Linked DNA regions of Oreochromis niloticus. The protein of the gene in region 1 binds, or shares a complex with, the protein of each later gene. Links are inferred from orthologs where the notes say so. Each region holds a gene or a part of one and is shown in the gene's direction. Other genes may lie near its edges. The genes, in order: exosc2, exosc6, exosc1 and exosc7.

What was found.
Region 2: exosc2 (region 1) and exosc6 share a complex: the UniProt entries of both Homo sapiens proteins name them as parts of the RNA exosome core complex. The link is inferred for Oreochromis niloticus from reciprocal best matches to the Homo sapiens genes EXOSC2 and EXOSC6.
Region 3: exosc2 (region 1) and exosc1 share a complex: the UniProt entries of both Homo sapiens proteins name them as parts of the RNA exosome core complex. The link is inferred for Oreochromis niloticus from reciprocal best matches to the Homo sapiens genes EXOSC2 and EXOSC1.
Region 4: exosc2 (region 1) and exosc7 share a complex: the UniProt entries of both Homo sapiens proteins name them as parts of the RNA exosome core complex. The link is inferred for Oreochromis niloticus from reciprocal best matches to the Homo sapiens genes EXOSC2 and EXOSC7.

The regions. Positions count from the first base shown.
Region 1 is NC_031972.2:21,288,296-21,295,932, reverse strand, and holds the start of exosc2 (exosome complex component RRP4), read left to right. Parts: upstream 1-4,637; 5' UTR 4,638-4,687; coding exon 4,688-4,809; intron 4,810-5,158; coding exon 5,159-5,260; intron 5,261-5,352; coding exon 5,353-5,398; intron 5,399-5,530; coding exon 5,531-5,620; intron 5,621-5,764; coding exon 5,765-5,830; intron 5,831-5,910; coding exon 5,911-5,979; intron 5,980-6,491; coding exon 6,492-6,668; intron 6,669-7,637. Other genes in the region: guanine nucleotide exchange factor subunit RIC1, read right to left, coding at 2,827-2,967. UniProt on the Homo sapiens protein: Non-catalytic component of the RNA exosome complex which has 3'->5' exoribonuclease activity and participates in a multitude of cellular RNA processing and degradation events.
Region 2 is NC_031972.2:7,647,208-7,654,005, reverse strand, and holds exosc6 (exosome complex component MTR3), read left to right. Parts: upstream 1-4,738; 5' UTR 4,739-4,786; coding exon 4,787-5,064; intron 5,065-5,615; coding exon 5,616-6,162; 3' UTR 6,163-6,286; downstream 6,287-6,798. Other genes in the region: aars1 (alanine--tRNA ligase, cytoplasmic), read right to left, coding at 1,130-1,275, 1,869-2,057, 2,228-2,371. UniProt on the Homo sapiens protein: Non-catalytic component of the RNA exosome complex which has 3'->5' exoribonuclease activity and participates in a multitude of cellular RNA processing and degradation events.
Region 3 is NC_031971.2:31,387,489-31,395,403, reverse strand, and holds the start of exosc1 (exosome complex component CSL4), read left to right. Parts: upstream 1-4,904; 5' UTR 4,905-4,929; coding exon 4,930-4,987; intron 4,988-5,093; exon of another isoform or gene 5,094-5,233; coding exon of another isoform or gene 5,234-5,240; intron 5,241-5,881; coding exon 5,882-5,997; intron 5,998-6,181; coding exon 6,182-6,256; intron 6,257-6,354; coding exon 6,355-6,443; intron 6,444-7,915. Other genes in the region: pgam1b (phosphoglycerate mutase 1b), read left to right, coding at 826-964, 1,768-2,042, 2,158-2,338, 3,057-3,226. UniProt on the Homo sapiens protein: Non-catalytic component of the RNA exosome complex which has 3'->5' exoribonuclease activity and participates in a multitude of cellular RNA processing and degradation events.
Region 4 is NC_031985.2:15,930,238-15,937,299, reverse strand, and holds the start of exosc7 (exosome complex component RRP42), read left to right. Parts: upstream 1-4,058; 5' UTR 4,059-4,160; coding exon 4,161-4,217; intron 4,218-4,370; coding exon 4,371-4,472; intron 4,473-5,186; coding exon 5,187-5,281; intron 5,282-6,355; coding exon 6,356-6,521; intron 6,522-7,059; coding exon 7,060-7,062. UniProt on the Homo sapiens protein: Non-catalytic component of the RNA exosome complex which has 3'->5' exoribonuclease activity and participates in a multitude of cellular RNA processing and degradation events.

The DNA.
Region 1 (7,637 bases):
AAAATATTTGGTTTCTTAAGATCAAGCATCTGGCGCAGTACAATTCAACATTCAACAATAACAGCACAGATCATCAGCAATAATGGAAGCTTGAGACTTGCTACAAAAGTATGACTGCCAATTGATTTTACTGCCAATGAAAGTGGTAATCGAGCTTTTTCATGTGTGGGCTTCACTCTGGTGACCTCTCTTGATTCAGTTAATCCAGTCCTTCCACTTGCACAATCAGCACCATAATCATTTTCAAAGTATGTATGGCATCCTGGAGTCTAAGGCTGTTGAATCGGTTTCCATTGAGAACATATAAAAAAGGTTTGGTATTACAGAAAAAATAGGGCACTGGCTACGGTGAGGTAAAGCAGTAATGTAATTCCAGCTGTACAACTTTAATGCTGGTATCTACTCACTGTAATGACACAACAGGGTTCACCATTCCTGCCTTATGGTGTCGCTTTCATACAATTAAAATTTAATAATGCCAATGACACCTGAACCAGATGGAAACAGACACCCAACTCCTCAATAGGAAAAGCAAAACTTAGTTAAATAGACGTAGCACACTGACAAGTTGGCAGCTCAATAGCTTACTTTTGTCTTTCTACATCAACACACTGGATTTGAAAGGAAACATCACAGTGAGGTTAGTCTGTACTTTTGGTACTTTCTTTCAATCAGTTGGCAAGACTGAACAAAACAACTAAGCTAAATTTTTGGTGCTATTTAGTTCACCAACTTTTGTTTCCTTATTTTGTTTAAAATTCTAAATTACTTCTTCCTCTGGTAGCCCTGCAGTAGCTTGATGTTAGCCATCTGATAACCCCTAAGCTCTACAGAAAAGTTGAAGGACACAATGGACTTAGTAGGGGTGACCAGCACATGTTAAGAGGAAGAAGTTCCTCCAATCGACATTCCTTTTCCTGGATGCCCCACGGATACTTGCAGGCACTCAGAACTCTTAAGAAAGAGGGGAAACAAAACAAGGTCGCATCCTGTGCAGGTCTCGGGAAATTAACTGTAACCCTGATCCATTGTTGCCACAACTCAATAATATTCAGACTGTGTGTGTGCATGTTTGTGTATCACAGACCGTTATAAACAATGTACCCAAGTGCAGGTTATAAAAATCAATCATATGCTCCCTCTCCATGTCACCATGGCAAAAACGTCCAAATAAACAAGGCCAACACGGAAGAATTCAAAATACTCTGTATGATGTTGATGAAGATACTGAAGAAGTACTAAAATGGAGGCACACCAAACAATTCATGACCCATTCCACATTTCTATGGTATTGAAAGCTGAGCTTAGTGGGTAGAGAAGTTCCCTGGAAACAGTAAAAGAGAAACCACGTCTACTCTCTGCATTTTTTTTTTTTTACATTTTAGATTTTTTTTTAAAAAGTGTGAAAAACAGGAATTAATATGATGAAGCTGCCACCATGTCAAACATCACCTGAATCCCACATGCAATGACTCAAAATATATATTTAAATATACGCATATATTTTTTTCTTATGCTGTTAGACTTAATCAATTAACCCTCGTTTCAACAACTTATCAAGTCCTTGATGTTTTTATTTGCATTTCTTGGGAAGAAGAGCTTGCCAATAAAGCATTCATGTGTTTGACAAGCTCCTGACCTACCACTAATTTCTACAGTCTGTCCAAATGTCACATCACTGGCATCGCCATCTGGTCAGCCCTGTTTATGTTGTTACCACGCACCTCAAAGTCACTGCTCCCTTGGCTCTATACCAGCAGGTTCAGTGGACTGAATGGAGTCAATTAAGCCAGATGTTTTAGATGTTGCAGTGCTCGACAGAGTTTGGTGTTTTGTTAAGAAACCAGCTGCAGCACAGCATGTTGGAACTTTTATAAACTTAATGGACCGCACCAATAAGTTTATAAATAGACAGAATTAACATTGGTTGATTGGTTTTAAGTCACTGTGAAATGTTCCTGTCGTGTGATGCATTTGTGGCCATGACATGCAAAATAAACAGCCTGATTATTGTGCTGAGATAAATGTTGACATTTATTTTGTAACTCCGCTGCCTAAATTCCTGAAAACTACCGGTAAGCAAAACATGCCATGGCATGTTTTGAACACTATTACAAATGTTTTGTTGACAGTAACTTAACCTTTGACCTGTATGCTGCTGAGTAAAACTGATGAGTACAGCAGAGGTAGCTGTACTTGGCTTAGTTGGTAGAGTAGGTGGTCTACCAATCTAAAGGTCCGTGGACTGCTCCCTGACTCCTCCAAAGATACCAAAGGTACTGACCCCCGCAATGTAGGCATCTGTATGAATGTGTGTAACACTTATAGTAAGAAAGTGCTTTGAATGCTCATCTGAGCAGAAAGGCACTATATAGTACCAGTCCACCTACCAAAATACACAATTTACTAACATTTGGGAAACTTTAAACTGAACTGCTATAAAGCGTCTATCAGGTAAACACCAATCCACTGTGGTTGAGTTTTGCTGTCAAATTATTGTTATAACTTAAGTAATGAACGACAGCTCATCCACGTGTAATGATGTGTAACGAGTTCACCTGCAGTCTGATAGGTGTGTACGTGGAACCCTCTGCCAACACATCAAGGTTAAAAAAAAAGAAGTAGTTTGAGTTACTCATCTGGGGACACCACAGTTTCCCCCCGTGTTTATTTACGGCACTTAATAAAACATGAAGGGCAGCCGGCCAGGCTATCACCCTCTGCTGCAATGCGTTTGAAATGAAAACGATACCAGATCCAATATCTTAGCTAGCGTTTTTTTGTTTTTGTCAGCTGATTTCAAGACCGATCCGAGTTTCAACTCACCCGACTAAACCAGACGCTGAGCTGGGTCTCTGAGAGCAGAGCGAAGTAAAAGCGCTGGGAGCTGGGCTGGATGTAGAAGGGCTCCTCTTCGCTCCTCAGCGGACAAAGCAGCCTCCGTGGCCAGCCGGTTAGAAAATACATGACGGCAAACTCACTCCGCCTCGGCGCAGCAGTGCCAAATAGTCTGTGGTCCCCTGTTCCTCCTTAAGTGCAATATTTAATCCAGGTGACTCATGAGCAACTCCGGAAATACCCCCCAAAAATATAAGGTATATACAAGCCAGTGTTGACACCGGTTAAGGGTGCCATACAGCTTCCAAACAGCCGACGGAGGCTACACAGCTAGCCCCGGGCTAGCGCTGGCTTTTCAACTTAAAGCTAATGAGCAGTCCAAGTGTAACCGAAAACAACAGCACGCAGACCCGCAGGTTCACCATACGGCCCCAAACGGCGGGTTCAGACTCAAGAGCGGCCCGATTAACTTCCACACCCGGTGCCGTGTGGGTTCTAGCGAAGTGTGGATCTGCGGTGTTTAGTAACAGCAAAGCGTCCAGTTTTCACTCCTCTGCGCCTCACCGTCGCCATCTTTCCAAGAGTCTGTCTGACTTAAAGCTGATTGGCTGAGACAGTGGAAGTTTGCGTCCTGTTGACATCTGACGTCACCGCTCCGTTGTACGAATCCAGGTGGCGGTGGCGGCAGCTTGGCTCGATGCTGCCACCTGGTGGTGAAAATGGAATTGCCTGGGAAAAACAATTTAATTGCGGTGTGACTTCTGAACTGTGCGACTGCAGTCTATCTGACATCTTTTAAATGAAATAAATTATTTTTCTTCTATTTCTACTTCTTCTTTTGATAATAATAATTATTATTATTTCCATATTAAAATTGGAACCAGGACACTGAATCCTGCAGCCATAATCAACATTACATGTGCTCTTTTCTTTTTAAATCAACATATATGCACACAAGCTTTTAACCTAATTATTTAGAGCCTGTGCATCAATTTTATCTCTTGTATCCAGCTCATAAATCCATTCATGAAATGTGGCGCTATTTAGCAGAATGAGAGTATTATTAAAATAACGTGGCATTTTAATCATGTTAGTATATCATTCTTCCCATATTAATCAAATCAAATAAAGCTTGTGGAACAGGACTATGCTGAAGCACTCTGCAGGCTCGTGTGAAGACAAGGGAGAACTGACATTTAAAATTATGCATGGTACTTCATAAAGTATAGAGAAGGTCAGGAGGAATTGCACTGTGTCTTTGTTAGTGTTAACAAAAACACAGGAGACTGATCTGGAGGTTGCAGAGCTGAAGATGTTGAGATTACCACTGGCAGTCCACCAGGATGGCCAGGATTAGGAATTAGTATATCAGAGGAAAAGCTCGGGCTGAGTGGTTTGAAAACAAAGTCAAGAGAGGCAAGGCTGAGATGGTTCGGAGCAAAGGATTGCATATAGGGGACAAAGGATGTTGAAGATGGAGCTGCCAGGCAGGAGGAAAACAGGAAGACTACAGAGAAGATTCATGGATGTAGTGAAGGAGGATGTGCAGTTGTTGTGACAGAGGATGCTAGAGATAGGCTGGGAAGAAGCTAGATTATGCCAGTGGCGAAAGAAGAAAAAGAAACAGTGTTTGTGAGTTTTTCTCCTCATTAACATTTACTGTTTGTATATATCACTAACGCCACAGATATAAGACATATATTTATTTTTTTTAATATACATTTATTTAGACTCGGTGGTTTAAAAAAGTAAATAAATACAACTAACGCGTCAGTAGGGGGCAGTAAAACTCTTATCAGTTCCGTATACCGCCAAAAAAGTGAAGAGAAGAAGAAGCAAAGGCAGAAGCATGGCTGCAGATATGAGATTACCGACTATTAGAAAAACCGTGTCGCTATCAGCGTCTGCGTTTGACCGAAAAGATCTGGTCGTACCGGGGGATGTTATTACTTCAGACACTGGGTTCATGAGGTAGGTGTTGGTTTTATTTTAATTATTATGGAAAATCAACCAAACACAGGAGTGTGCTGCTGTTCGGGTCTGTTTCTGGTATCTGGCTTGTAAAGGTAATTTAAAAAATAAACTAAAAATGCTCCAGATGATAGCCAGGGCCATACTGAATTAGCAGGTGAGCATAAAGTCAGCCTGTCTCATTTGCTATCTTCTAGACTGATACACAGTAAGTACGGATAAGGACTCTAATCGGATAAACTGCAGCATTGTTTTGTGTGACCTCTGAATGCTGCACTTTACCCCTTATTTCTTTTTATTTTTTTGGCTGTTTTCTTCAGAACTAATGTTTGATACCGTCTGTCCGCAGGGGTCATGGCACCTACGTTGATGACGACAAGTTGACAGCTTCAGTCGCAGGAGAGGTGCAGAGGGTGGACAAACTCATCTGTGTCAGGCCACTTAAAACCAGGTGAGTGGTTGAACTCTTAAACAGTCAAAGACTTAGATGGGCCTGTTATCTATATACTCGTTCTTACATTGTGAAGTGTGCTTTGATTGCAGGTTTAATGGTGAAGTTGGAGATGTTGTGGTTGGCAGAATTACAGAGGTAATGCCTAGTATTTGTTCCCGTATACAGCCGCTCTAGTTATAATAAAAGACAGTGATTGCAGCAACTTGTTTTCATTTTGGTTTCCAAGGCTTTTAAAGAAAATTTCTTCTTCTTCTTTAAAATGTATAGGTGCAGCAGAAAAGATGGAAAGTGGAGACAAACTCCCGACTGGACTCTGTCCTCTTGCTGTCTTCTGTAAACCTGCCAGGAGGAGAGCTGGTGAGATGATAGAAAATGTGATTCACTGGGAGAAGACGGCTTTGGCTGACATATTAAAATTAATATTTGATCATCTTTTCTTTTTCTTTTTCTTTTTCTTTTCTTTTCTTTTCTTTCCTTTTTTTTTTTTTTTTTTTTTTTTAGAGGAGAAGATCAGCAGAAGATGAGCTGACCATGAGAGAATATCTTCAGGAAGGAGATCTAATCAGTGTAAGTCTGACTTCTCTATTATAATCTCTCATTGGCTTCCCAGTTATATAATCTGTGTTGAACCTTTCCTGTGGTTTCAGGCAGAGGTGCAGTCTGTCTTCATGGATGGAGCTCTGTCACTTCACACCCGCAGTTTAAAGTATGGAAAAGTAAGTTATTCCAGTGTACACAAAGACATGTGAAAAAGTCACGGGCAAGTTTATTTATATAGCACATTACAAATGACCAAAGTTAATCAAAGCACTTCACGAGCAAGATGTCAAGGTTTTTTAAAGGCCGGAAAGTAGAAACTGAGTAAAGAAAAATAGAAACCGTTTTGGTAGATCTAATGAAAAAAAGAAACTTATTCAAGAGACTCAGGGCAACAACTGAAAAAGCTCAACGAGCTCTATTTTTTTTAATCAACTGATTAGCAGACCTCAGAGCTCTGACAGGAGTGTGGACATTAATAAGACCAGACAAATACAGTTGTGCCAGGCCAACCTAATCAGTATCCAAAAAACAATCAATATAATATTCAAATTAACCCTAAAACTGACAGGATGCCAGGGAAGTCAAGCAAAAACTGGAGTAACTGTGTTAGCTCAATAATAAGAGTAACAATCGTTATTTTCATTTTCATTTAAACTAACACCCTGTCTCCACTTCCCCTGACTATCAGTTGGGTCAAGGAGTGCTGGTCCAGCTTTCCCCTTCTCTGATCAAGAGGCAGAAAACACATTTCCACAACCTGCCGTGTGGCGCATCCATTATCCTGGGGAATAACGGCTTTGTGTGGTTGTATCCCACACCGGGCCAACAGGAGGAGGAAGCTGGAGGTTTCTACACCAGCCTTGAGGTAGGACGCCATATTTTTATTACTGATCAATGGGCATATGAATTTGTAAAACAATTTCTTGTTGTTTCAGGAAATGTAGGAATTTCAAATTGATACAATTGGTGCATTTACTAAAAATCTTGGTTGACTTCAAATCTCAGCGGCCTTGACCTCAAGGTCAAAGGTCAAAATAAGTTCTCTGATCTTCACAAATCTCGTGTGAATGCGATAACTCGAAAAGGAAGCCATCTAGAATTTTCATACTGAGATCAAAGGTGTGTCTGCTCAGAGGCTGAGGGGTAGCACTGGCGGTTGCCCACATTTTTCCTTCTGTGCCTCTGTTTGAGCATTGATTTAAGTACGTTTACATCAAGATCGAAAGAACTATGTGGCAGTTTTGTCTGCAATAGTAATTGCAATATTAGTTTTCAGCTTGGCTGCTAAAAGTTCACTGAGAGTATTGAGCTGTTCTTGTCTATCAGTAGGAGGATTCAACACACGACCATGCTTACGAAGAAAGTAACAAGATACAGAAAAGCAAAAATATATAGTTAATATATTGTATATTTTGTATCAAAAGGTAGTTAATTTAAACATTTATTTTAAAATGAAGGTGTGGACTGAAAAACTAAGTGGAGAGAATATGTAGAGAACCTAAGCATTCAGCACAAGGAACAGTTTTATTTTTTTTTCTAAATGGAAAGGCCTGGTTGTAGTTTGCAAAATCAGTGAGAGTTCTGGAACAGATTTTTATGGACTGATGAACTAAAACTTGGAAAGAGGCTCGGGCATGCATGGCTGTCAATGGAACGGGAACGCTGCCATCCATTAATGATTTTTACTGCTCACACAAGTAGTGTTTTGTGTGCTTAGCTTCAACCAAATGCACAAACTTTCATCATTCAACCTAAACGCAAGGCCAGAGCAACCAAATATTCCATCAAGTTGGAGCATCCTTGACTGTTTGAGTTGGTCACCTTCGATCCAGCT
Region 2 (6,798 bases), about 14 Mb from region 1:
TGAGAAGGGTGAAAGCGGATCACTTACATGAAACAGATGAACCAGAATTGGTTTGTAAAAATGGTGCAACTTCAGTGGTGTGGAACTGGTTTGGTTTTCGTCCGTCAGATACACACCAAAGTACAATTTTTGGTAGAGCATGCAAGTGGGCCGTCGTTATTACCTTGTTTTTCGGAAAATAAGGCATACTTAAAATCAATCCTTTGATTTTCTCCGGTGCGCCTTATGTGTGAATTCTGGTTGTGCTTACTGACCTCGAAATGATTTTTTGTGATACACGGCACTCAAAAATCTGTCAAAAAATGTTTTAGTACGACGCCGCACCGCTTGATGGATTGTTGGAGCATTACAGCTACCGTAGTCAGGAGGCTCACGGAGCAATACATACTGTGCTTCAACATAATATTACCGTATTGTGTGTGTATAACCTCTTTTTAAGTTTTGTGGATATTACACATGGTTATGCTGAGGATATGTCGGCCAATTTCCACTAGAAATGCCTTTTGGTTAAACTGTCAGCAGGGAATTTGCATTTTCACTATTAAATTTTTATATAGTTTTAATGCACATAAAAAACAGCTACTTGTTTAAGTGAAAATACATTGACGGGGTTTTTTTGCACTAATAAAGTTGTGGAGTTGAAAAGCATTTTGTCCCGTGTCAATTATATCGTCAGTAATAACGTTATTGCAAATTTTCAAATATATATCGTGATAAATATTTTTGGCCATACTGCCCTGCCCTAATGGAGACTATATAGATTTTTTTCTGACTGGATTATAAATTCATGAAGTAATCACTGTTGCCACCCTTACATTTGACACCCTCTGTAACTCAAAGTTGAAGTTTAATCTCTTTTTAGACCCACAGTTTTCCTCAGCTCAGGGTTGATAAACTCAAGAGTTGTTAGCTAAACCTGCTTCCTGGAATAGGTCCCAGAAACCTAGTGTTTACTAAAGCAACCAAGGTCCATTTTCCCACAGACCATGACATTGTTTTGGAATGTCGCCGCCTCTTTCTGGCCATTAAAAAGATTGCAGGTTTAAGGCACTTCCAAACTGGTTTCACTTTTCACATCACAAGCTTTATCTATTTTTACATACAGTCAATGCTCCCAAGGCTCACTCACCCCAAGTCCATCCAGATCTGTTTGCACTCCAGGTCGGGCTCCAGGCCTGCATCCTCATTACCTCCAAAGTAGGTGACATACAGGCGCTCTAAAGGAATACCAAACTCCTGAGTCAGCAGCTCCAAGGCCATCTTACAGGCCAATTCCTGCAGAGCAAAAATGATGCAATAACAATTTAGAGCTGTTTAGACACCGTCTTGTCCATTAATAATGATAATTAATATGTCATTGTAATATAACAAGCAACATTGACAGAAAGGAGAGAACAGCAAGATTCTCACATAAATCAACTTTAACCACTTTACCCAAAAATATAAAAAGAATGAGATGAGGTCCAGGCTCATATGTTCAAGCATTTTTGTATTAGAATTATCTCCTTTTCCATACTAGCGAACAATTCCCTCATTCTTATTTTGAAAGTGCCCTTTTCCTGTGCCTCTACAATGAGCTCACCAGTACTACAAAGCTGAACAGCTACTGTCCAAGACAAAGAAGTTATAGAGTTGTAGACTGACTTGAGAGGGAGCAGATTATGCTGCCCAGTTATACATTTGTCACAAAATACTTGGCAAACAAAATATTTGCAGAGGAGAAATTTATAAATGGTGAAAGCGCTTGCAGCAACGTGTGTGTATACTCGAGCACCATTCCACAAACATGATCTAAATCTGTGGGAAAGACTAAAAATACAAGTAACAAAAAAGTTAAACTGATGTATTGGATGAAAAAAATGTAATACCTTAAAGTAGTCCCCAAAGGACCAGGAGCCCAGCATCTCAAAGAAGGTGTGGTGGTAGACATCTTTACCCACATCGTCCAGATCATTGTGTTTGCCTCCTGCACGAATACACTTCTGGGTGTTGGCAGCACGATGCAGCCTGGCCATGGGATGTGATGGATCAATAGTGTTGAGGAAGATGGGCTTGAACTAAAGGAAATGAGGTGCAAAAACAAAAAATCTTGAGAAAAAAATTATTTTTTTCAAGAAAGTTTGCTAGATCTGATTTCTGAGCCTATTCTAAAAGTTGTGAATCAGTGGGTACATAAAAAAAAAAGCCATGGTGTAGGAAGCAGTGCTGGGAAAGACATGGTGTGTACCTGGTTCATGCCAGCATTGGCAAAAAGCAGCGTGGGGTCATCCAGGGGGATGGTGGATGAAGAGTGAACATACTGGTGCTCATAGCGACAGAAGAAGTCAATGAACTTCTGGCGAATTTGAGCTGCATTCAAGGAGGAGTCCATTCTGAAGAAGCTCTGTGAACAAAATTACACACAGAGAAAAGAAACACTTTAGCTATCAAGCACATTTAAGGAGGTCTTGTCCAAATGCAGCCAGTGATTTTTTTTTAGTTAATTCTTGGTCCAATTAAATTGTTCCAGGTCAAAGACAGAAGGATAATTTAACCCATAGAAACTGGTCCCATTTAGAGAGGTGGATGATTATTTGGTCTGAGTAACAGCAACTTTTCTACTAAGTTATTAAAACACAATTAAGGCCTGTTCTTCCCTTTCAGGCAGTAGTCACCTTAAGGGTACACTCTTAGTGCTCTTGTATCCAAATACTAATTTGGCAAGTACAGAAGAGGTAGGTAGGTAGGTAGGTAGGTAGGTAGGTAGGTAGGTGTGTGTGTGTGTGTGTGTGTGTGTGTGTGTGTGTGTGTGTGTGTGTGTGTCACATCTTGGGTAAAGCTTTTTAACCAGCTGTTTAAAACACTGCCTTAATTAACAGCATCAGCAATTTCCCATGGGTTTCTCTTCCTGTCATATGACTTTGCAACTAGCGAGAGCTCTGGCAAGGCTGGTGCATAAGTTTGGGGTTGTACAATTTTCTGTCATATTTTAAATGCAAGTAATGTGCTTTGTTGGAAGCTGTTGAAGTAGCTCCTTTTTAGGTAGTAAAATGTCATTCAAGGCAATCCCATATAATAAAAAAAGAATTATACACTTGTCAGTGCTTTTAAAGGCTGGTTAAAGAACCGTCCAGTATTGGCCAGAAAATACATGACTTTGTCCATAAAGTATCAAAACATTATGAAATTGTTTATCGGTCATTCAAGTGTCATGCATGTTTTGATTTTACCACTCCACACCAAAAGCTTAAAATTAAGTCTGTTTGTACGGTGTGGCTGTTAACCTAGCTGCAGCTAATTGGCCTGAGGCTCTCCTCATAAACAACAGCAGCTCAGGAATCCAGTAAGACAGGTGAGGCGCACAATGCTCTAATCTTAAACCATGAAGTCAAATCCAATTTTAGGTAAGAATGGAAACAAAAGCACTTTATTTGGACTTTTGCAGTACACATATTTCATTAAAAATGTGATACCATATATAATTAAAAGGCAGCAGAGCTCAATTCCCATTGGTGTAAACTAACTGCCAAAGGAAACCTCAGCTGGTGTTTTCAGCTTTCTGGGAATAAGGAGTGGATGACAAACAGCCCATGTCCCCATCCTGACAACAAACCATTTAGCGGGCAACCAGAGAAAGAAAAGACGTGGGGTGTAAGTATTAGCCCAGTGGTTTTGAGAAATAAATAATGGTACATTTTCAAGACAAAATAGGGACATATATAATCATAGAACAGGTAGACGGAGACCAGGTTGATGATAAATACTGGACCCATCTTTCAGGTTAGTGACAGGAACAGCCCTGTTCTCTGTCTCCATGGCACAAAACCAGTGAACTTAATCTCGCAAGTCTAACATAAACTTCCAGACCACACAAATTTGTGACAGTCATGTGATACAACATATTTCCTCTTAAAGTGCTACCAAAAACCGACAGTCTGCAATGTAAGCTAGTCAGCTGACTATAATTGCTATTCTAGGTAGAGGCACTAGCTTGATCTGACGTTAGCAGGCTAATGTGTTAGCCAGTTAATCAAGCTACCTCCCTGCACTCAGGCTGAGATAGACAGTTCGGCACACTGCTCTAACTGAAAGGCTATTCTGCTGAACAGTACAATGAAGATAGCTTATTTCAACTACATTTAAACACATGAAAATACTCACAGAAGCCGCTATTCCCGCAGAATGAATCAGGTACTTCTCCTTCACTCCACGCTGCTCAAACAGAAGGAAAGCACAACCAGCGGTCACACCTACGACAGCCTCCAATTGGTCCGGCTACACAGAAACGTCAGGAATCTGCTTTCCTATTGAACAAATCTACTGTCCTTCTTAACAGAGCCCGCCACGGCAGCGATACAAACCTCCGTGCTTTGGCTGATGCAACTAAAACGGTGTCAGCTCAGATTTTTGTTGTCGTTTTTAAATATATTAGTTGATGTAGAGAAATATGTGAGAAAAGTCCGCAAGCCCAATGAATTCCAGCTTTTGTTTCAAGTCGAGCCGAACATGTATTCTAACTTTTTTAACTAATGTTGTTATTTATTTATATACATTTTTAAAAGAAATGATTGTATTCTGTCCTTGATCAATAACATGTATCACTTTTTTGTGACTGTTATTTTATGGCAGAGGAACTGACTAGTAATAATGATGAAATATTGCTGCATCCGTACGTACTCGATATTTCGCTTTTCTGATGTAATATCCTTCAGTGTGCGTATATTAGCGGAAGCATTTCTCCCGCATGCTATGTTTCTAGGGGAAGAGATTTCGTGCGGGACCGGTTGCTTGGGTCATTTACTTCAACATGCCGACTGACACCAAACGTGTTCGTGGTCCAGAAGTGTCTCAGAGCCCGTCTCTGTTTTCGTGCGATCCGGCGGCGGTTCTGCCCTCGAAGGGGCCCAGAGCGGACGGTCGGCGGCGGGATCAGGTCGACGTCCGGCCCGTTTTCGTCCGCTGTGGCCTGGTGAGCCAAGCTAAAGGCTCCGCGTACTTAGAGGCTGGAAACACCAAGCTGATGTGCTGCGTTTACGGCCCCAGAGAAACAGACCGGAAGGATGAGACGGATATGAAATGTGGAAGGTATGGAGTTTGTTTGTTTTAAATCTTTAAGCATATTGACTGCTCTAACAACACAACAAACAAAGACATAGGTTTCTGATGATTAAACTGTGAAGTCATAATAAAAATACAGCCTGCTGTGTCTTACATGGACAGCAGCATTTTGGGGTTTTCTTTATTTCCACCACTGTTCTAAACTACACATGCGTGAAAACTAGTCTAAACATTAATAAACCCCATAAACAATCGAAATGCAACAGAATGTTAACTTTTGCCCAAAACAGTTGCTGGAGACATTATTGACTTAATCCAAATGCAGCACTTTTTTAGGGGAATAAAATGCTTTTTGACATATCCATAAATCATAAATGTTCACAAAGAGGCAACTCCTTGTGTTTGATAAGAGTTTTTGCATTACTTTCACTGCGAACTGTTATTTAGTACCATAGTTGGGTAGAAAACTGAGCTTATGTGGGTATACCATAAAGCATTCAGTTTGAAGTGGACACTGATATCTGTGAGAGTTTAAAAAAAAAAAAGACTCAACCACAACTGTTTTTCTCTGTGTCCAGATTGACTACTGACATGCGCTTTGCTCCATTTTCCTGCCCGGAGAGGGGCTCCTGGATTCAGGGGAGTCAGGACAAGGACTTTTCCCTGATGTTACATGAGAGCCTGCAGCCCGCCATATGTCTCCACAAATACCCTCGCTCTCAGATCGAGGTCAGCGTGATGGTTCTTGAGAACAGCGGTTCAGTTCTGGCCCATGCCGTCACATGCGCCTCTCTTGCGCTTGCAGATGCGGGGATCGAAATGTATGATCTGGTGCTCGGTTGCTCCATGCGCCAGGATGGCACCTCCTATGTGGTTGACCCTTCCTACATGGAGGAAAATGGCTGCAGCTCAGTGAGCTGTGAGAACCAGGGCGGTCTGACTGTCGCATTCCTCCCAAGCCTGAACCAGATTTCTGGACTGCAGTCTGATGGAGACATGACTGAAGAGACTCTGACCGCTGGGGTGAGGACCTGTATTGAGGGATGCTATAAACTGTACCCAGTTATCCAGCGTGCCCTGACAAAGGCTGTGCGCAAAGCTGCTCCATCACAATCAGAGAGCTGAGTGAACCACGAACTCCTCCGTTTAGTTTTTCCTGTAGATCATTTCCAATCGTTAGTAAAGAACATGATCTATTTTTCCATGTGTGGTATTAGTTTATATATTAAAAGAAAAATATTCACTCTGAGATTCGCCTCTTTGCATTTCCTCATTAAATATAGACAGTTAAATAATGTATATTCTCCCTGGGATTTGACACTAAATGCTTCCCACAACACTGGAGAGAAATTGTTCAACTGGTATATTTTTAGTAGGTGAACTCTGGCAATGCAAATAGCCTCATATAAGCAATATATGCAATATAATTACAGATGGATTTGGTCACAAAAAGTTTGTCAACACCCTCTGTCACAAACAGAATTACACAACCATTAAACTTGTCCTTGTCTTGTGTCCTGGCAGAGCAGGTAAGGTATGGCTACATCTGTGTCAACATAATTTTGTGTTCTACAAGTCATCCTCATACCATTAGGGGGCACCCTAATGTTTTAGTGAAATCTGGCTGTGGTTAATGACTATCTTTACCACAAACATGCTGCAGCACTCAAGCTTTGTACTTACCTTTATTCATCACACAAGCAAAATGTTATTTGGAGGTTCCAGCAGACTGTAACATATCTGGGATGAACATGTCAAGAC
Region 3 (7,915 bases), on another chromosome or scaffold:
ATCTTAATAAAGTGCACAAATATCTATAACATCTTTGATGCATTTAAGTAAATTGTCTACAGTGACCTAAAGAATTATGAAAGTAACCGATTATCGCGTTTTTGACAGTGGCAAGAGAAACTATGTAGACTAGGAGCTTTGAGATTATGGCACAGTCTTATGTTTCGATTATGTTTCACAAATGCTAATTAACTAATGGTTCTATCTTAAATATGATCAATCTTTCGCTCTCCGTGTATTTATACACCACTACAGAGTAGTGTATAAATTTAATAACCAGTAACTAGATTTAATCAACAGTAACAAATTTGAAACTTGTGTGCATGTGTGTCTCCCTCTGCTCTCTTCTCTTTCCACTCATTAAACTGAATTGAATAGATGTTTCTAATTTAGTGAGAATATGCGATAAATGACTTTTTTCAATGATTAAAGTGATCATTCATGATTTTTTTTTTACAGGCACGTGTTAACTTGATGCACAAAAGTCGGTGTGGACGTGCCGCTGTGCGCATCTTCCTGCCTCCCTCCTCCTCCGTTGAACGCAGCACGCCTTGTGATTGGTGGAAACTAGCAGGAAGAGAGGAAGAGGACTCAAATCGTGAGGGCTGTCAAACTGGGCTAGTCGCTAACCTTCCGCAGTAGCAGACCTGCCATCACTCGAGCTCACGTAAAGCAATCACCGACCTGTTGCTGTGTAGGAACTTTCAGGGTTTCGGTGAAGTCCGGCGAAATCTGAGAGCGTTGCTGCTGCTGCTGCCGCCTTTTAGGAGGAGTCACTTTCCCCGAAGTTCCCGGAAATACAGCGTAGAGGGCATTGGTGTGAGGATGGCTGCGTACAAGCTTGTGCTGATCCGCCATGGAGAGAGCTGCTGGAACCAGGAGAACCGCTTCTGCGGCTGGTTCGACGCGGACCTGAGCGAGGCCGGGGAGCAGGAGGCAAAGAGGGGAGGACAGGCCTTGAAAGGTACGGTATCAGAAAATGTCATCGGGCCTAATAGGGCTTTATCTCGGTCACTGGATTAAGCCAAGGCAAGCCGGTGCTTACGCAACTTTGTCGAATGGGCAAACCGGTAGTAGGCCCAGTGGGGCAGAAGGGATGGAGTCATTCCACGGTTTGTTCCGCAGTCTGCTGGGCCACACGGTCACTGCTTCAAATTAAATGCTACTGGAGTTTTTTTCCATTAGCTTCCCTCCCACCAGGGCAGACAGTTTGGCGCCTCCTGGTGCAGCAGTACAGCCTCTAATTTTAATTCAAAGGAAGCAATTCTTATTTGTGGTGGTCTTTAACCACAGAGGTATTTAGGAGAGTCCTAATGCGATTAATTTAGCGTCTTTGACGATTTTAAGAGTGTTTGTATTTATTGAAATGTTTTTTTTCCCAAGGAATAAGCTTATTAATTAAAACTGGAGCATAAAAACCAGGCCAAAGATGCTTTTATTTCCAGAGGAGGGCAGAATATTACTGTTTCATGAGTCATCATGCTGGATTTTGTGGGGTTAGGTGGACGGAACAACACAATTTTTTTTTTTTTTTTTTATATGACCTGAAAATCCCAAACAGGCACATCTTGCAGTGTTAAGTTTGCCAGTGCCTTGCGGCCCCTGACCAAGCAAAATCAGAAGCAACTGATAAAAGAGGGGCAATAAAACATTAAGGTATCTATTATTTGAGCCATGAACGGCAGCTGCAGTAGTATTCCTTCATGAAAAATATGACAAGCTGTTTTGAAATGCACATTTCTAAATGTCATCTCTTTTTCCCTTCAGATGCTGGCTATGAGTTTGACATTTGCTACACATCTGTCCTAAAGAGGGCCATCCGCACTCTGTGGTTTGTCCTGGATAGCATCGACCAGATGTGGCTGCCTGTCCACCGGACCTGGCGCCTCAATGAGCGTCACTATGGTGGTCTGACTGGGCTGAACAAGGCTGAAACAGCAGCCAAACACGGGGAAGCCCAGGTCAAGATCTGGAGGCGTTCTTTTGACATTCCTCCCCCACCTATGGATGAGGGACATGACTACTATCAGACCATAAGCAAGGTATTAAGCAGCTCGGGGAAATTGTGACAAGTTGACTCTTTTCGTTATTGCATCAATGTAACCCTGCGTTGCTGAAACTATTTTGACAACACCGACTTCTTCTTTTTCCCTGTAGGACCGACGTTATGCTGACCTGACAGAGGACCAGCTCCCTAGCTGTGAGAGTCTTAAGGACACCATTGCTCGGGCACTTCCTTTCTGGAATGAAGAGATTGTTCCACAGATCAAGGAAGGAAAGAGGGTGTTGATTGCTGCCCATGGCAACAGTCTCCGCGGCATTGTCAAGCACCTGGAGGGTAAGGAAAAGAGAAACTTGTGAAACATTTCTCAGCACTAAAAACACCTTTCAGTGTTATTTCACTTACTATGAGTCAACAATGAATTGGGGTACCTGCTAAACCTTCATAAAGGCCTATGAACTTGATATCATCCATTTGGGTTTTAGGGAAGTCAGAAATTATCTTATAGACAAGAGCGTAGAGTGCTAAGTTATTAGCTGTTGCAGTGGCTTAACTAGCAGATAGTTATTGGTCTAGGTGGCCACCGCATGTGAATTAATGTGACTACATTCCTAGTAGTGCAAACTAGTGCAAACTTATGACTGTGATAACTTTAGAGTTACACAATGTTGGTTTTTGAAATTATACCATAGAGGCATCTACTAAAAATCTCAGGCAAGTTTGAGTCCTGGTAACCTTGACCTCAAGGTCAAGGTCACCAGGACCTTGACCTTGAGTTTGAATCTGTGACCTTGAACTCAAAGTCAAGGTCATAGGTCACATTTTATACTATTTCTGTATCTACTAGCAGGCTGAGGGATAGGCAGTATTATCTGTTCCAAGCAGGTTTATTTTAGTTCTTAAGTTGTGAATTTTAACATAAGAGTTTAACAATCATGCGTTTGTCATACAAAGCTACCATCTGCTGTCAAACATTTTAACGCGGTCTAAAGCAGCAGCAGCAGCTACATGCAAATGAATTACAGCTCTGTGTCTGTCATTTTTTTTTTCATAGGTATGTCAGAGGAGGCCATCATGGAGCTGAACCTGCCCACAGGCATCCCCATCGTGTATGAGCTGGACAAGAACCTGAAGCCTATTGGGCCCATGCAGTTCCTGGGAGATGAGGAGACTGTAAAGAAAGCCATGGAAGCTGTGGCTGCTCAGGGCAAAGCCAAGAAATAGACTTGTCCTTCCTTTGGGAGTAAAGAATCATCATCTGCTTTTTTTTTTTTTTTTTTTTTTTTCTTTCCCCATCAAGTTGTGAAAGGGTCATTTACTGTTTGTGTCATCACAGACTTGAGGACAGGTAGACACAGAATGTGCACTTTATCTTAATACCACCCATTTTTCACAAAAATGTACAATCTGATGTTTAATTTGACTGCTCTTTACTTTGTTACATACTGAAACATGCATTTCATTATTAGACTGTGGATATCAGTTGTAATGTGGTTTAAGCACTGACCAAATATAAATTAGGGACCAGCAAACAGACTACCCCAGCAGAGTTCCAAGTATTCTTTCCAATTTACAATCCATGTAGATGAAGCGCAGCGGAAGCAGGAAAAACCAAAAGTTACACTGGCTTTGTTAAAGAGAGAGCAGATTTGCTCTAGACTGCTGAATATTGTTTGCTGTGGCATTGTGCTTAAAAATGAATAAATGTTGTGAGTCATTATGCAGTGTACTGTGTGTGATGTCTTTTTTTTTTTTTTCCAGGACAACTGCACTTTTTTTTTATATGGTAATTGAGAAATTTGTCTCAGTAAAAGGCAAATATTGAAATGCACTTTATCCAGTTCCCTCACTAAGTAAATGCGATTGGCAGAAATTAAAAGTTTGTTGTAATTAATTATGTGACAGTCCCTGTTTCTCCCTTTTCTGTCACAGTAACTGCTACTTCAGCAGCTGTTCTGTTGGTTAAACATATTTGTATTTCTTATATGCATCCATAGATTAGCACATTTCACAGGAGGCTCAGATACTTAGTTTTGTAAACTGCAACCAATCCAAAATATGAGAGAGTGTTTTAGTTTGTGGGATGGGGGCAAGTCTTTTTTTTTATTTTCTCGAAGGTTTGAGATGCACCGTAACAGGACTATGATAAACATGATTATTTTGAAAAAATGGCTGCTCGGTGGCAATTTTCCGATTATATGATTCTTTTAAAACCATGCTCAGAGAAACAGATTTTGAATAAAAGCATCGACAATTTAATTTACATTGTAGGGAAGTAATAAACCTAGGAAATCCCAATACTGGAAGTAGCTAACTTTCATAGCAGAGGTGGGTAGATTGATACCAATATCAATAGTATCAATAAGAATGCTGGTACTGGTGTCCGATACTTTAGCATCAGATTGCTACCAAATTTTGCAGTATCTCGCAGCAGTATTTCATAATTATCTGACCATATATGACTTATTCAATCATATAGTAATGCACACATGGCACGTACCCGCCCATGTGTGGCTCAGCAATCATGGCGGATCAACGCATTTTGTTCCGCTGACGCTGAATGACACTGACCAATCAGAATCTTTCTGTGCCCTTAGTCCTAACCAATAGGCTGCCTACGTACGCCTCTCGAAAACATGTCGCCGATGAAGCTGTGCGTTCCCGGTGAGTCCAGTAAATTCGTCTCTAAAAGCGCTTAAAAACTAAATATACCAGTGTGTAGATTGTATGTTGGGATATGTAGACAGCTTTAACAGCTTTAGAGTCATTTTCTATTAGAAAAGGAAGTTAAACTGCATTCTGAGCGTGTGAAACCCTGGTGATTATTTCCAGCTGCCATGCGTGGAGTGGGCTTTGGCTTCCCGTACTTGTAAGGCTGTAGTAACTTATTTTACAATCAATCACATGTTGGATCAGCTGACTGTCAGATGGAGTCGGGGTTTTCAGGCCTACCGTATCATGGTCTTTTACTGTATTTGCAGGGCTGTGAGTTACTGACTTTGGCTTTCCACGGCTGATGAGATCCGATCCTCAGCCCTGCCCATCTCCTCGGGCAAGATAACGCATTCCTGAGCTTTGTTTTGTCACACCCGTGGGAAAGCCGCAGGTCTATCCGGCGCATGGCAGTAGTGAACCTTAAATGAGTTGTCTGCAGGAGTAACATTTAACTTCATTCTAATTACGGGTGAAAGAGCACAAAGTAGCAAGATAATTAATTGTAGTGCAAGAAAAATGAAGGGTAGTATTGTGTCACATGACATAAATTATGTTTTGTGTTTTAATCTTCTTGTCCATGATGTGTTTTGTGCTTAAGGTTTGCAGATACACTGTTAGTCCCACAATGCTGTTACATCAAAGTATCCTCAGTTAGTCTCTCAGTTTCAGTTAGCAGATGATAACCAAAATAAGGGAAACTATTATTATTATTATTTTTATTATTCTTTAGTTATATATTATATAGTCTACGTTCACCATTGTAACAAAATATTCTGTTACAATGGTGGATGCTTATATTAAACATGGGCAACGTTTTAAATAATGATATGTACAGATCATCCCTGTAAGCCAGTAGCTCAGGCTTCAGACTCTACTGAATGCTAAGTTTCGTTTTTTTTTTCTACTTTTGGATCTTTGTTATGTCCTCAAGAGAGGGAGGATGTTCAATTTGTCTGTTTGTGAAGGGAAGTCAGTCAGATAAAGATGGTTGATGGAGATGTGAAACGGCTGGGTTCAGACATGGAGCAAAGCCCAGTATAAGATAAAGATTATTTTTGGTGATGACTCATGCAAAGATGTTTTTATTTTAATTCTTTTTTTAGAAGGAACAGTGCATCTCCAGAACCCAAACACTAACACATCTGTGTCTTTTTTTATACTTAGGTGACAAACTATGCAGCTCAGAAGACTGTATTCCTGGCACAGGAGTATACCTGCGACATGGCTACATATACTCGTCACTAGCAGGCTATGTGCTCAGGAAGAATGAGGGAGAGGAGGTGAGGGGTGTGGGTAAGACAGGGGAGGGGAAAGTTTGTTCAGCAGTGAGACAAGTACAAATGCCAGACTAAAGGTATTTTTGCAATGTCTTTTGATGTGAGTAAGCGAACTAGTTTTGTAATTGTCTAAGGTGATATTCACATCATATGGATAACTTCTACTGGGATTATTTTGTCTCCTTAGTTACCAGTGATTTCAGTTGTGAGGGAAACAGAAACACAACTGCTGCCAGATGTAGGAGCAATAGTCACCTGTAAGGTATGCAATAGAATAAGAAACTGTTACTATCGCTGCATGTTCTGAGTAAATAATCTTGCACAGTTTACAATCTGTTTTATTTATTTTTCATTTAACAGGTAACCAGCATCAATCCCAGATTTGCCAAAGTCCACATCCTTTATGTAGGATCCACCCCACTGAAGGACCGCTTTAGAGGCACGATCAGGTAACCACAAAATTTGAGCCAGTTTTTGTCTAATATTTTATTGTAGACTGTTCAGTTTTATTTATACAGCATCAAATCACAATAACAATTGCTTCAAGGCACTTTATATTGTAAGGTAAAGACCCTACAATAACACAAAGAAAACAGAGAAAACCCCAACAATCATATGATCCCCTATGAGCAAGCACTTTGGCGATAGTGGGAAAGAAAAACTCCCCTTTAACAGGAAGAAACCTACAGCAAAAACAGGCTCAGGAAGGGTGGCCAATAAGATAAGATGAGGACTGATTATTCAAGACCTTGTATGTGAGGAGCAGGATTTTCAATTCAATTCTGGATTTAACAGGGAGCCAATAAAGAGAAGCCAATATACGAGAAATATGCTCTCTTTCTAGTCCCTGTCAGTACTCTCGCTGCAGCATTTTGGATTAGCTGAAGGCTTTTCAGGGAGGTTTTAGGACATCCTGATAATAACGAATTATAGTAGTCCAGCCTAGAAGTAATAAATACATGAACTAGTTTTTCAGCGTTAGTCTGAGACAGGATCTTTCTCATTTTGGAAATGGAAGAAAGGCGTCTTACATTTTTGTTTAATATGTGCATTAAAGGACATCCTGGTCAAAAATCAATCCAAGACTCCTCACAGTGTTACTGGAGGCCACGGTAATGCTATCCGGAGTAAGCATCTGTTAGACACTGCATTTCAAAGATTGTTAGGACCGAGTACATTAATCCCAGTTTTATCTGAATTTAGAAACAGAAAATTAGAGGTCATCCAGGTTTGTATGTCTTTAAGACATTCTTGTAGTTTAACAAATTGTTGTGTGTTATCTGGCTTCATAGATAAATGAATGAATAGATAAAGTTTAGTGTTATCTGCATAACGTGAAAATAAGTGAAAATGTATGCTATGTCTTCTAATGGTACTGCCTATGGGAAGCAAGTATAATGTAAACAGAATTCTAGAATGGAACCCTGTGGAACTCCATAGTTAACCTTCCTATCTGAAGAGGACTCATAAGAAGCTCATTTGTAACCTTCACTGAAGCTGATTCTGTAAAGAAACTGTTAGAAATAGCAGGTGAAGTAAGAATGAAGAAGCCTTTTTAAAGTTGCTGCTATCCTATGATTGGAACTAAACATAAAAATAGTAATTACTGCATCCAGATTTTAAGATGAATTCAAAAACATATTTTTTTATTGTTTTTTTTTTCAAAATAAAAATTAATCTAATTGTAATTCTCAGCAGTACTTCCCCAGCTAGTCTTTTTCCAACTCAAACTGATAAGTTGATTTAAAAACAACGAAATAAACTCATTAAAGTCTCTACTTAAACTCCATATATGCATGCCAAACCTTCAGACTGCTAATCGTGTGAGATGGGCCTGAGGCAGCCAAAAGCAAGACCTGTTTTGAGGAGGTGGTTGTAGAAAATGAAGGTGGAGCAGCAGCATTGACAGCATTGCTAGACT
Region 4 (7,062 bases), on another chromosome or scaffold:
TGCTCCAGAAACAACTCCAGACCAACCACTTGCTTTTTTCTCATCATTTATATTCAATATTCAACTTCCTGTATTACATTATGTTGTAACTGTGGCTGCAAAGGTGTAGCAACACAGTTTGTTCCAAAGCTACACACACACAGAAAAAGCTGAAGCATTTTTGGGAACTGTTTGCTTTAAAGTTCAAGTTTCAGATTACTTCCCCCGCTGCAAATAAGGTGTAAGTTCACCACCTTCACTCTGGTTAGATGAACGATTGCTTTATTGGAGTACTAAATGAGCTTTGAGTACACATGTTAGTGTCCCTGTAATAACCACGTATTTACTCGTGTGACTCACTTGATGTGTGTTTGACTCAACGGGTGGAGGAAGTCCACCTGTCGAGTTTCAAGTAAAACTTGCTTCGGGATGCAGGAAGCTTACACATGGCCGGACTGTCGCTGAAATCGACTCCCTTCATTAGAAACAACAGCTAGAAACAGCAATGAAACCAGTGTTGTGTGAAAATGGAGACGATGAAAAAAGATAGAAACTCAAGACAATGAAATAGGCAAGAAAGCCCTGGAGTGAAACTAACTACTGATGCTGAGTTCATTAACAATTAAGCCAATAGTTTCTTCTGCAGAATGAGTCTATAGATTTCTGTCAGTGAATAGCTGCTTATACAGAGAGGAAAACCAATTTAAATGGAACAGAAACACTTTACACAACCAATCTTGTCTAAGACGATCCGGAAGATACAGTAGATACAGTATGTGAAAATGTTTAACACGGTAAAGGTAAGTTCATTTGAAATGCATGCAGCACACTAAAACACTCCATGATTCACAGGTATTTTTGATACCCTGCTGTAAAATAAATTACACCACCGAGTGAAGGAGGCAGCTGAGCGGGCAGGCAGCACGAGGACCTCCTGTTGGGATAAACAGCCAGTTAACATGCTGATGTTGTTCCACTTTACTGATAGTCTCATCGGGCCACTTAAAAAACTGAAAATGGTTGTTTCACTCAAGACTAATGTGATGCTTCAGGGATTATTACCGCAAAAACAAACATGACCTGATTATGATACCGAATCACATTGTTTTATTTATCATCACGTACATACTGCTGTCCCTGTATTGAAGCAGAGTGGCAGAAATCGGAGACACATTAGACACAACAAACTGCTCATGGAGTAGCTGTTGATGGTCTTTAAACTGACAGAGCGAACTCTCCACTGGCTAAAGCAGTGATGCCAAACATGCGGCCCACCAAAGGGTCCAATCTGACCCACTGGATGGCTTTACAAAGAGTGAAAATTGCAAAGAAGTCATTAATTTGTCCAGTTTTTTCAGTAAAAAATGAATTGTTACTCATTTTACCGATGGCATATTTATTGTACAGGTGTGAAACGAATTGTTAGTTGAAAGTATTTCAAGATCTAGACATGGTTTAAACATAAAGACGTAGAACACTACACCCATTTTTCTCAAGTTCACCTCGGGTTGTTTATCATTTGTTTCACATGTGAATTTTTAACATGAAATGACACCCTGTGTTGTAGGCTTATTTTTAAGGGAGTGGGGTAAAAGTGTGCCTTTCAATTTAGCTTATCATTTCATATTTTTCGAAATATTGAATTCAGCTAAGGTGAACGCTTTTAAAATGCACTTCTTTACACTAAAGAAACACTTTCTTACACTTAAGATTTTTTTAATCAAGTTTTACTGATTTAGCAGACTTGAGATCAGCTTCTTGACCAATGCTTGGTGTGTGCGTAACCTGTGGACTACAGATGTAAATTGAATATGTGGCATGTTTACATCTACATTCATTATCACACACTGTTTGTGTTTAATAAAACATCTCTCCTTTGCGCTGTAGTCCTATACTAACACTCAGGTGCTTGTGGCCACAGATCAGGATGCACTCTGTATTCTTACAACTTTCTATCACAGCCCTCATGATGCTTGAGCACCCATCACTCGTTGTCCTTTTTTGGACCACTTTTGGTAGGTAAAAGTCTCAAAACCTGCGCTCTTTGGATCTGGTGTGACCTAACTGCTTCAAAGCAAGAGGCTCCTGGGTTCAAACCTTCCTGGATGCTCTCTGTGTGGAGTTAACCTGCTCTTTCTGTTGTTGTGTATGTTTTATTTAGCTGCTCCCATTTATACCTAATGTCCAAAGTTCATGTACGCTTAATTGGTGACTCTAAATACATTAAAGGTGTGGATGTGAGCTACGAAAAGAGTTAAAGGTGGAACAGAATAAGACCCTGGGTGAATGCGAGTTGTCAGTAGGACTATTAAATCTCAAAATCTCAAGTCAGTCCTCCTTCCAATAAATCATCAAGAACAGACTGTTCACCAATATATTTGACTCCATGACAAAGTGCGACTCTGAGGAGATGATCACCTTTTTTTTATTTCAGTCACCTGTCTTTGGTTTCACTCTTATATTACTATTCATTAATTTCTTATCTCACTGTGCTTTTTTGTATCTTATTGAGCTATTTTGTTTTGTCATATGACATTGATTTTATTAAGCCATTCACAATGAGATAAGCTATTTTAATAATAGTTGTATTTAATGTTATGGCAACTGCAAGACAGCAGTTTCATTACTTGTTTATCCACTACATGATTTACTGACTGGTCCTTCCAGCTCGTCTTTGGCCGATTTGATTTCGAGGATAAAAAAACAGACATCTGCTAAAATATGTTGAATAACCTGAAAGGCACTAAGGAGGAAATAGAACAAGGGTGTTTCTGGGCTCATCTATATGGCTGAAGTGCCTTTGAGCACGGTTTGCTGTATTTCAGGTAAAGTAACCACCACAAAGATATGATGAGTAGCGTATATGGTAACATATATGCTGTATAGGATATAACTACTCATCTTTGGGAAACCAAACCAGGAAGTTAACTGGTAGCTGGAACAGAGCGGGATGACTGGTTTTCCAGCAGTTGATAACTGGAAACACTTAAAATGTACAAAACCATTTTCCAGAGTGAAACTGGGTTTTCACAGCCTACCTCGCACTCTCCTGCCTTTCTCGACGGACGCTTCTTGAACTCTTCGTGTAGTTTAGAGGCTTGTAGAGTTAAGACACCCCAAACTATCCACACACGCCTGTCTGCCCCTCCGCTGCGTCCGTTAGCTCAATCCCAGCTAACCTCACCGATCTTCGGACAGTTGCCCTCCACGGCCCCAGCGACTCGGCTCCCGCTCTCGCTGCTGTCTCGTTTTCAAAGAAGTGTTAATTATCCTCGCTAACAGTCAGCTAAACGTGACCTGAAACAAGGTGCTGCCGAACTGCCGCTCCTCCCGTCAGATCCAGAAAGCTCTGCGGGTAGCAGGACAACAAAACGCAGATCCAACCAGGAAGTCAGACACCCTATCCTGTCTATTATAGGCCGCTTTGCCCTGAGCATTGGCTTCTAGGTGGTACTTTCACCCGGGCTGTGAGATCAAAACCTTGCAAAATCCTACCGACCCCCTTACGATGGTGAGGGCTACTGAAGGTTAAAGTGAGTAAGTCAGTAAGGAAAATAAATAATGAAATAAATAAGGGATTGTACTAGGGGAGAAAAATTTCCATAAAAAATTACGAGGAAAAAAAATGAGAGGAAAAAATGTGTCAAATAACCCCCCAAAATTACGATCTTTTAAGCAAAAAACAAGAACAAAAAAATGTCAATCTATGACACAAAAAGCAAATTTACACGCAAAAATTGGCAATTGTTGAGAAAACACTCACCTATTTATTAAAGAAAATAGCAAATTTTCTTTAATAAAATAGGAAATAGGAAGTTTTAAAAAAAGAATCTAAAACAGCAAATTTACAAGTAAAATATATAGGACACAAATTTCGTGGAAAAAAACTCACAAGAAAAAAATTACAAAAAATACGCGGCATAAGTTAAAACACGTGCAGAAAAGTCGTTGTAAAGGGTTGTTAAAACTTTAAGTTGCTTTTCGTGTCAACATCAGTGGAATATCTTTGTTTTTATGAGATTACTCTCTTGTGTTTGTTAGGTGGGGCGCTTACCTGTAAAGATTATTAGAAAACTCAAACAACCAGCATGCCCTTCGGATTTTTGCCCCATTGTCGACTTCTGATGACGCAGGGGTAAAGCGACAGACATACACACACATGCTAAAAGTGTTTCTGAAAAATGGCAAGAGTGCAAGTTAGTGAAGCTGAAAAAGTGTACATACTACACGGCATACGAGTAAGTTGTTAACAAACATGTTAAAAAATACAGCCCCAGACTTTTATTTATTCTGTTAAAATCATTTCAAATGTATGTATTTATGAGCTTTAGCGATGGGAAGCTAGCTGTATTAGCACTGTCTCTGTTGACATGTTTCTTCCTGGTCTTCAGGATGACTTAAGGGTGGATGGACGAGGCTGCGAGGACTACAGACACATGGAAATAGAGACCGATGTGGTTTCCAACACAGACGGATCCGCCAAAGTCACGCTGGTAATTAAATCAGACAGCATCTGCAGCTGAGAGCTCTAAAGAGAGCATGTGTGAACAGCTGAAAGACTGAAATTTAATGATATTTCAACAAAAATCAGTTACGGCCCAGTCCCGTCCTCTCATTTACGACTCTGAACTCTGGTTTGTAGTAAAAAGGTAACACATACAACAGCACTGCCGAAGGCCTCAGAGTATGTCCCAACTTCTTCCTGAAAAAGAGAATCCAAATAGTTCAAAGAACCAGAGTGTGGTTTGAGAAATCCAACACTGGCACATATGATTGGACTACATACCATAGAGTCCCATTTAAAAGGGACTCTAACTAAGGCCACCCTCCACAACAGTCCCACATGTGGCCCTTTGGGAAAATTAGTTGCCCAACTTTGCATTGACTCGTTAAACGATTTACGCAAAAACTAATTCTTAAAATCACATCTAAATTTGACTTGGAGCCAGTGTAAGGAAGCCACTATGGCTGATATGTGATCTCACTTGTCACTTAAGAGGCTTCCCACAGAGTTTTAGTCCAGCTACAGTCAGCAAAGCAAAACCTGAATGACTTGACAGATGAATGAAAACTGTTAGTAGTAAAGCTGAGATGAAGTGAAGGCATGAATAAGCTTTTCAGAAGTCAGAGTGCTGTTGAAGCTCATTTCCCTGTTCCACTGTCACACCAACCCTTTTATATACCCCCATGGTTTGTCTCTCTTTCAGGGGCACACAGCGGTTCTTGTGGGGGTTAAGGCAGAGATTGGAAAACCGAGGCCAACGGTGCCAACTGAGGGCTATTTGGAGTTCTTTGTTGATTGGTATGTATGCTGCTAAATGATATTTCTGTTTATGAGGGGTATAACAATTCTGAAACTGTGGTCAAAAATAGCGATACAAACATCCACAATATCATTTCACTATTCCACTTGAAGCTGGTAATTCCACGTTAAAGCACGCGTGTCTGGTGAGAGCTGTAATCAGGGGTGTTATGTGTTTGAGTCCAGAGGTGCCACTATGGATTTAACAGAGGGGGGAAAAGTCCCACAGCTCAGTAATGCACAGTAAGCAATTTTCTACAATCATCACAGTGATTATCGAAATTTGCTTTCTATGTTAATCACAGAATTATTTTATTTTATTTTTACATATTATTGATGGGCACAAACTGTATAGTGTAGCAGCAGAGTTGGTGCTAAAACATGTAAAAAGCCTGAAATTCAGTACTGATTTTGATTACTTCTGATTTGATTGATTAATTATTATCATTATTATTATTAATATTATTATTACAATTATTATTCTCATTATTTGCTGTGAGATTTATTTGGCAGCACGAGAATGTAAAGTAAAGTAAAAGTGTGACAGCTGCTGTTATATAAAAAGAACTCGAAATACCCCAGAATAAAAAAAAAACAAAAAAATAAAAACAGATTAATTTAGTGTATTTTTACTCCATTCATGAATGTGGTTTAAAAAACAACTGTTTTTTTTGTTTTGTTTTGTGGGGAGTTGAAAGGTAAGCCAGGCTGTGGTTCAGAAGAGTTGTTACACCCCCTGTTGGTTTAAACATGGGTGCGCGTCATTTTTTTACAGTGTTTAGGTGACACATCATGAATTCAAATCAAAATTTTGCATCAGCAATTAAAGATTTTAAAGACATTGAAAGTAAAAATAAATCATTTGAAGTTAAGTGAGTGTTTTAATGGATGTGCTGCCACCAGGAGGTAGTGTTGCATTATCTGTTCCCTGGGTTTCCACCATAGTCCACTACAGAAAATATTATCATATGACCATACAAAACGTATGTGTGTGAAGAGAGGTAGCAAGACTAGCAAGCTTTACTGTGGGATAAGCTCCTGCTGTACGACTTTACTGGGTTGTTTCTTCTTCAGTTCGGCCAATGCGACCCCCGAGTTTGAGGGCAGAGGGGGTGAGGAGCTGGGCACGGAGCTGAGTAACACCCTCTACAAAGTCTTCAACAACAAACGCAGCATCGATCTGAAGAGCCTCTGCATATGTGCTGGAGAACACTGCTGGGTGCTCTATGTGGATGTGCTGGTGAGTCGTAGCATCCAATGCTGCCTTTTGCTTCCTGAAATTTTTTTCTTTTTTAATATTTATTTTTTTTCTAGTGTGCAAAAAAAAAAGAAAAAGTGCACTGTACACTGCAGCTCCCTTTGTCCATGACTGCAGGTTTTTTTGCCCTGCATTTGAGGGTCATTGAATTTTGACCAGTGATCCAACCAAAATCCTCTCCTCTGCTGCAATAACAAATGTGTTGTTTTTAGACAGAACAAGATATTTTTGGACAATAATTTGACTTTGAGAACTTATTACACCAGTCATTTTCACAATTTTCTGACATATTGTAGCACAAAAAAACGAATAAATAATTAAAATTATTCCATCACAACCCTAGATGTGATTCTTATGGGCTTCTGTTTTTATCCTCAAAACGACAAGGCTGCATTTACCTTTTTCTTCCTGTTTGTATAGTAAGAGTTGTTAGCGGTGTAGAGGTGTTAAGATTTACTTGAAAATTTCCAAATAAATCCAAACAACTTGGGTCAAATCTCATGTTTTTATGCTTCCACAGCTC